Struthio camelus: one gene and its partner. The protein of the gene in region 1 binds, or shares a complex with, the protein of each later gene. Links are inferred from orthologs where the notes say so. Each region holds a gene or a part of one and is shown on either strand. Other genes may lie near its edges.

Region 1 (3,743 bases):
CTTTGCTGGTAGAACACAACAGAAAGTACTCAAGATTATCACATGAGCCACAAATTAGCAGTAGAAACATTTACCAGAGGTATTAGGTCTAAACTTCTTTCTAATAACTATCTCCAAGTGAACACTGTAGAAAGAAATACAACTATTGGCTTTGTCAGGAAATAAAAAAGGCATTATAAACATTCCAATGCTGTTAATTTCTCTGTTACAGAGCAAGCATTTTCTAAATCATTCTTACTACAGATATTCCTTTCCCTAGCTTATTAGTGACTGCTTTTATTGTAGTCTACTGCAAGGTATTAATTACAACTCGCAAGGTATTAATTACAACTACTTAGAAGTCACCATTGTCCTGCCACCTCAAAACTTCTCCCTTCCCCACTTTCTCTTGCCTCTTCACTAGTGTAGTTTTATGGCTGTTTAGGGTCTCAGTTAACAGAGGTTGACACTAGCGCCGAGTATCAAAATCAAGGCATCACCGCAAAACTGGAGATACAGCTATCTAGTGAACTACAATTACCTGACATTAAAAAAAATGTATATTGATAAAAAACAAACATGCAATCATTTGCAGGGAGAAAGCTTGCAAACTATCAATGTAATCTTTCTTTCAATAATGCAAAAAAGCAAGCCCTCTTCCCTGGCACAAGTAAGATCCCAGCTTCACCAAAATTCTCCCTAACTGGGGCCTCCTTTCCCCTTTAGGCTGAACAAAGAACGAGAGCTAGCAACAAAGAGAAGGGGGCGGCAACAACCACTCTGCCTCCTTTAGTGTAGTTAAAAAAAAGAAAAAGAAGAAAAAAAAAACTAGACAGGCCCCACAAGATCTGCCATTTCTGAACAGCGGCAGATTTGCTACAGCAACAGACACCTTTGATATCTTGCTTGGTTTAGCCATTCTTCTCCGTTTCCCAAACGATGAAAACACATCACAAGCAAAGCAGCCTCAACCTCTGTTTCCTGACTACTGCACACACAACTTAAGGGATTCCCATGACAGGAGGAAATCTTAAAAATGAAATTGGTAACTAATCTGACCAGTTTACCCTCCCAGTACCAAAAATAAAACCAAACCCAAGCCCTGGAAAAAAAAAAAAATAGAAAAGTTTTCTCTGTTGTGGCCAGAAAGAACCACAAGCAAGTTGCTGCAAATACCAGAAACTAAAGCGTGAGCTTTATGTACTTCTTAGATGTGACTGACAAGGCAAATCACAAGTCACTACATTCTCACCAGGCGAGTGCACAAACTTAAGAAGGCCTACAAAAAAATCCAGTTTCCCCATTACTAAACATACATGCGACTTCGGTGTTTTGCTAGAGCAGAGGTTCATGAAAGCCAAATTTACACTCTTCATGCATGTCCTGGGGGGAGGGGGGTTGGGAAGAATACGCCTGTCCCCTCCACAGACAGAAAGCCTCTATACAAACTGGACGAAAGGCCTCAGCTGCAAGGATCACCAGGTGCCGAACCTACACATGGCCTAGACTTTTGGCAGGGGAGGAGCCAGACACGGCAGCGACTCCAACGTCTTCACGGATAGCGGATGGAGGAGAGTGTATCAACTTTTTTTTCTTTTTCTTTTTTTTTTTTGGGGGGGGGGGGAGGGAAGCGGTAACAATAAACACAGCATTCTCCGCCGGGCCCCCGGCTCCGCCGCAAGCCGGGCAGCCTCCCCACCAGCACCCTGTGCGGCTCCAGGTCGCCTTTCCCCGCGCCGCTCCGGCCCTGCAGGTGGATGGCGGCGGGGACCGGCCGGCGCTGCGCACCGCGGTGCCCACGGGGCACCTCGACCGGGCGGTGGGGGGGGGGGGGGGGAGGAGGGAGGAGGCCGCCCCCGGCGGCGGTTAGAGGGGCTTCCCCCACCCGCACTCCCGCGCTCACCGTCATAGTAGTAGCAGACTTTCTTCTTGCCGCCGCCCTGACTGTACGCCATGGGGCCGCCGCGCCGGGGCTGAGCCGGGGGAAGGGGGAGGGCGCGGGAGGCCGAGGCAAGCGCCGAGCCGGCGGGGAAGGGAGGGAGGGGGCGGGCGGAGGCGGACGCGACAGAGCGGGAACGCGCGACGCCGGGGCACAGGCAGCGCGAGCGGACGCGACCAAGGGGTGGGGAGGCGCGGCAACACGGGCGCGCCCAATCCGCGGGCCCCGGGGGAGGGCAAGAGAAAGGTAGGCGGAGAGGGCGGGCGCAAGTGAGCGTGGGCTCTCCTCTACTCATCCCTACGGCTGTCACTCAATCATGTAGGCCGGAACGCAGTAGCAGGCACCGGTGAGCCCTCACAAGCGAGACGTTCGAGGCGGCGCCTGGCATGCGCACCCCTACGCCAGCCCCGTGCAGTGGTACGGTCCGCCGGCTCGAAGGAGGGAGACGGCGCATGCGCGGGGTGACGCCCCCTCTTCAGCGCCGCCTGCGCTGTGCATCGCATGGCGACGCGGGAGCGGGGTCGGGGCGGGAGACCTCACTGCCCGTGCCCGAAAAAAAGCGGGCTGCTCCTCGCCTCAGCGCGGGAATAGGTTACTCCAACTCCCCTCAGGCCACCCCCCCCCCCACCCGGGGCAGTGGGGCAGGGTCCCGCCCGGGCCTGCCCCGAGCGCGCGCGGCCCCCCTCCCCCCCCCCCGGCCGTTACGGGCGCGCTGCCGGCCCCTGCCTCAGGGCCCTTCTCCCCTGAGCGGGAGTACGGGCCGCGTGCAAATACTCGGCCTCTCGGGCTTCTCGCACCCATCCCCCTTTTCACTTCCTACCCTCTTTGTCTGTTCTCCCACCAAAAGCAGTTCTGATTCTCCGGACCTAGCGTTACATACTGTTTTTTTTTTTTTTTTTTATTTTAAATACTGAAAGCACTGAAAAACCTCACCTCTTTACACTTTTAAAATAGCTCAGCACACACCTTCCTTCACACAAATCATAGCACACAGGACAACAGGTAGGTCTGTGTCTAGCTGCAACTAAGAGCGCTCTTGGAGGCACATACCGTATTGACATTATTGTTGCCCAGTAAAACACGCGTCCCTGTTTTAGGAGGAGTTCAAAGCATACTTTACAATGTGCATAGCAATTCCTTTTTCCAGAAGGAAAGCACGCTACAAGATCAAAGTACTTGGGGTTTTATATATGAGGCTTGACATCCGGATCAAGTTTCAATTTGAGACCTACCAGCAATTTTCTCTGCCTTGAGGTTTGGTTACACATCCAGGAGGAAGAAATAAATGATTAAGCTGGTAACATTTAGGCTTAGCCAATAACTACAGCATTTTTGTATTGGCAACAATTCAAGGCTTCACAGCTCTTGGAGTTTGAGGTCCCGTGTATCAAAGCCTGAGGGTGTATATTCAGTCATCAACATAGTTACAGAAGATTATTCAGCCAATATGAAAAATCTCATATCCTAGCTTTAGGGACTTGCATTAGTTTTAGAAGTCTTAACCAAGGTTTCTTGATTTATCAAAGATCCTAGGAGTATCTGTAAACACAGATTCATATGCACCTTTATATCAGATTATGTAAATACCTGCCCTTTATCAGTATCACTTACCAAAACTAGTACATGTCCAAACCAAAGTTAGATCTCTGCTTCCAGAATCAGGTTATTTTCACCCCTAGAGATATCTAGCACAAAGTTAGGTCCTCTTGGGTGATAAGTTGGTTCTCTATAGAGACAGCTGTAAAGTACACTTATGCTAATTACATGTACACATACAACACACATTGAAGATAAACTTAGGACACACTGAAGTAAAAATGGGTTA
Region 2 (3,743 bases), on another chromosome or scaffold:
AGGGGCCCGCTATTTCCCAACTTTGGGGCTGCGATTTGCACTGAACGTGGCAGCATGAGCTGCTTGTGTCCTGCTGTAAATGAATGTAAGAGATCACTCGGGGCTGGGCATTAAGAGATTATCCTGATTAAAAATAAACCTACTTTTAAAAACTAGTATGTCATGACGATGTACCTGCAGCCAAATAACGCTAGGATTTAACAGGTGTATATTTTTATGCAATTTTATAAAATGCCGATGATGTTTTGCAAAGCTTTACCTAGCCAGGCTGCAATTTTCTGCGTCAAAGCAATTTTTTTTCCGAAGGTTTCCACAGACACAGCCCAGGTGTTTCTGAGAGTGATGGGCAGGTGAAAGGAGGCCTATGGAGGGGCAAAAAAGGAGTCGCTCAACCTGCACTGGAGCATGTTGAGTGTGCACACATACACCGGCTACAGCCCTACTGGCACACTGAGAGGACAGCGCAGGACGAGGGGGACCCAGTGCTGGTGCTGGTGATAAAGGCCAGGGGAAAGGCTCGATGCTATCTTTGCCTCAGTTTTCACCGTTTGGGCCGGCTGCCGGATCAGGCCTCCCAGCCTCCAGCCTAGCGGGGAGTGAAGCATCACCCACAGCCGAGGAGGGTCGCGTTGGGGAGCACCAAACCGATGGGACACACGCGGGTCGCTGGGACCAACGGGATGTGCTGAGGCTGCTGGGGGAGCTGATCCCCGTAGTATCATCTTGGAAAGGTCATGGAGATCTGAGGAGGTTCCTGCTGGCTGGGAAAAAACAAGTGCCATGCCGATCTGCAAGGAGGGCAGGAGGATCTGGGGAGCAACGGGTCAGGCCCACCACAGTCCCTGGGAAGATGATGGAGCAAATCCTCCTGGGAGCTGTTTCCAAGGGGGTGAAGGGCAGCAAAGTGGCTGAGAACGGCCAGAATAGGATCACCAAGAGCAAATCAAGCTGGCCAACCTGATTGCCTCCTACAGTGAGATGACTGGCTGTGTGGACAAGGGGAGCAGCAGATGTAGTTTTCCATGACTTTTGCAAGGACTTTGACACGGTCCCCCATAATATCCCTATAACCAAACTGAGGAGATCTGGGCTGGATAATAGCCAATAAAGTGGGTGCAAAATTGGCCTCACTGCTAGGCTCAAAGAGAGGTAATTAGTTATACAAAGTCCAAATGGCAGTCAGTCACTCGTGGTGTCCCCCAGGGATTAATACTGTGGCCAAGACTGCTTAATGTCTTTATGGATGACTTGGAAGATGCAACTATGATGTCCTGCACCTGCTTTGGAGTAACCTCATGAGCGGGACAGGCTGGGGCCATCTGGCAGAAGAGGACCTGGGTGTCCTGGTGAGCAGCAAGCAGCAGGACCAGGGCTGTGAAGGCAAACTGTGTCCCGGGCTGTGTCAGCCAGCATGTGGCCAGCAAGGTGAGGGAAGGGACGTTCTCCCTGTTTTGGTGTTTGCAAGCTGGACTCTCCTCAGAGGTGCGCAGGGGCGGGATGAGAAGCAACGACATTAGCTGGAACAAATTCCCACCAGATGTAACACTTTTCCTCCTTGAGGGGGGGAGTCATTAGGACTGGGACCACCCTTGGAGATCCCCAAGCCCCAGCAGGACGTGGCCCTTGCAGCCGATCCAATTGGCCCTGCTTCATGCAGGATTGGTCTCTCCTGGCCCAGCGCCGTGACCAGTGGGACAGTGTGAGGTGGCTCTGTGGTGTCACTGATGTCCCCTGGGGTGGACAGTGGGGCTGCCAGGCCCCCCAGGGCAGTGTTTGGGGTCACTGGGACACTGTGGGGTGGGTACTGAGGTCACTGGGAACAGTGGGGATGAGTGCATCAAGATACTGGGACCAGTGAGGGGGATCCTGGCATCACTGGAATCCCCTGAGGTGGATATGTAGCACCACTGGGACTTTTCCAGGGTGACCCTGGCGTGAGTGGGACCCCATGATGGGTACTGGGGCCACTAGGTTCCCCTGGGGTGGGCACTGGAGTCGCTGGGACACCCTGGCATAGGCAGCGGGGTCAATGGGAGCAGGATGGGGGATACTGGGACCATTGAGACCTTCCCTGGGGTGGGCACTGGGGTCACTGGAAACAGTCTAGGTCATACTGGTGTCACTGGGACCCCTCTCAGGTGGTCACTGTGATCACTGGGAGCCATGTACATGGCACTGGGGTGACTGGGACTGCCCAGCAGTGCACACTGGGGTCACTGGGCCCCCCCGGGGTAGCTACTGGGGTAACTGGGAGCAGTGTGGGGCACTCTAGAGTCACTGGGAGTGGTGTGGGGCCACTGGGATGCCCCCCAAGGTGGACACTGGGGGCACTGGGAGCAGTGAGGGGCACCCTGGGGCTACTGGGAGTGGTGTGGGGCCACTGGACTGCCCCCGAGGTGGACACTGGGAGCAGTGGGGGGACACTGAGAGCCCCGAGGCCCGCGGGGTCCCTCCGCGGGCTCCGCGGCCTGGGCGCAGAAGCGGTCACTGGCGGCGCCCCCAGGAGGCTGCTGAGGTGGGCCCCGCTCGTCGTTGCCCCTTTAAGGCGCTGCCCTCCCCACCAGATTGCCCCACCCCCATGGCGGTTTCTGATTGGCTGGGCAGCCTGCCGCGCGCGCCGAGCTTAGCGCGCCGCAGCACGCAACGCCGGCCAGCCCCGCCCACCCCCTCGCCCCTCCCCCTCCCGGCGCGCGTTCCTCTGACGAGACTCCACTCCAGCCAATCCGCGCTGGGCTGCGCGCCGCACGGCTCCGCGCGGGTGGCCAATCGGGAGCGCCGGGGCGGGCTGAGATTTGCATAATAACAGCGCGGGCGGGGCCGAGTGAGGAAGGGCGGCGGAGGGGCCGCTGGCGGCGCCAGGGAAGGGGGGTTGCGGGGCCCGGGGGGCGGCGGCGGCGGGGGGGGGCTGCGCCGGGGGCGCCAAGGGGCCCCTCCGTGCGGGGGGCGGGCTGCAGCGGGGGCACCGGGGGGTTTGGCGGGGGCCCCGGCCCCGTGCCTCAGTTTCCCCAGCTCCGCGCAGCAGTCGCTCGGGTTTCTCGGCTGGAGCTCGGCGGCGGGAGTAGCCCTCCCGCGAGCCCTGCTGCGGGGTGTCCCCGGGGCCGAGGGTCCGCAGGGAGTGCAGAGCAGCCCACCCCGCGCGGGGGGAGGCTCTCTGGGCGTTGAGGAACCCTCTGTCCCTTGGCCGTCCTGCCCCAGGGCGACGGGGCTGTTGTTCCAGTCTGCATTGTGTGCTAGGTGTTTGGTTCCATGGGGACGTGGAGAAGGAGGGGAGGAAGGTGTCTAGCCTTGGTGTGACTTGCCTGGATTTGTGCAGTGAGGTGGTGTCTGGGCTGCAAATAAAACCCAGGAGTCCTAAGTCTGTGTTGCCCAGATCAGAGCTCTCCAAACTTCGGCTTGGCCACCTCCATCTACAGAGTATCTTCCTCGCTGCTGCCTGTCCAGCAAGTGGCAATAACAGCTCTGATTTTGTGTTTCAGGGGTCCTGATCTGAGCAGTGTTGGCAGTGGTCTGCGAGGACTGCCCATGGCCCACAACACAAAGCAGCTGGCTGCAGGGATGCTGTAAGTGTTTTCCTCCTCGGGCCCGTGTGCTGTTGCTTCCAGCTGTGGAGATGCTGACTGATCTTCTAGTGCCTAAATGGAAGTCTTAACCTTGGCCAAATGGGAATGTGATCTCTTGTATGTCACAAGTTGCTTTGGGTCACCTTGTCCCTGTCCTGTGCCTGGTCCTGTTTTTGCCTCTTG

The links.
Region 2: HDAC2 (region 1) and HMG20B share a complex: the UniProt entries of both Homo sapiens proteins name them as parts of the BHC histone deacetylase complex. The link is inferred for Struthio camelus from reciprocal best matches to the Homo sapiens genes HDAC2 and HMG20B.

Annotation. Positions count from the first base shown.
Region 1 is NC_090944.1:63,043,821-63,047,563, forward strand, and holds the start of HDAC2 (histone deacetylase 2), read right to left. Parts: upstream 2,203-3,743; 5' UTR 1,935-2,202; coding exon 1,883-1,934; intron 1-1,882. UniProt on the Homo sapiens protein: Histone deacetylase that catalyzes the deacetylation of lysine residues on the N-terminal part of the core histones (H2A, H2B, H3 and H4).
Region 2 is NC_090967.1:324,659-328,401, forward strand, and holds the start of HMG20B (SWI/SNF-related matrix-associated actin-dependent regulator of chromatin subfamily E member 1-related), read left to right. Parts: upstream 1-1,396; 5' UTR 1,397-1,411; coding exon 1,412-1,425; intron 1,426-2,774; exon of another isoform or gene 2,775-2,868; intron 2,869-3,473; exon of another isoform or gene 3,474-3,476; coding exon 3,477-3,560; intron 3,561-3,743. UniProt on the Homo sapiens protein: Required for correct progression through G2 phase of the cell cycle and entry into mitosis. Required for RCOR1/CoREST mediated repression of neuronal specific gene promoters.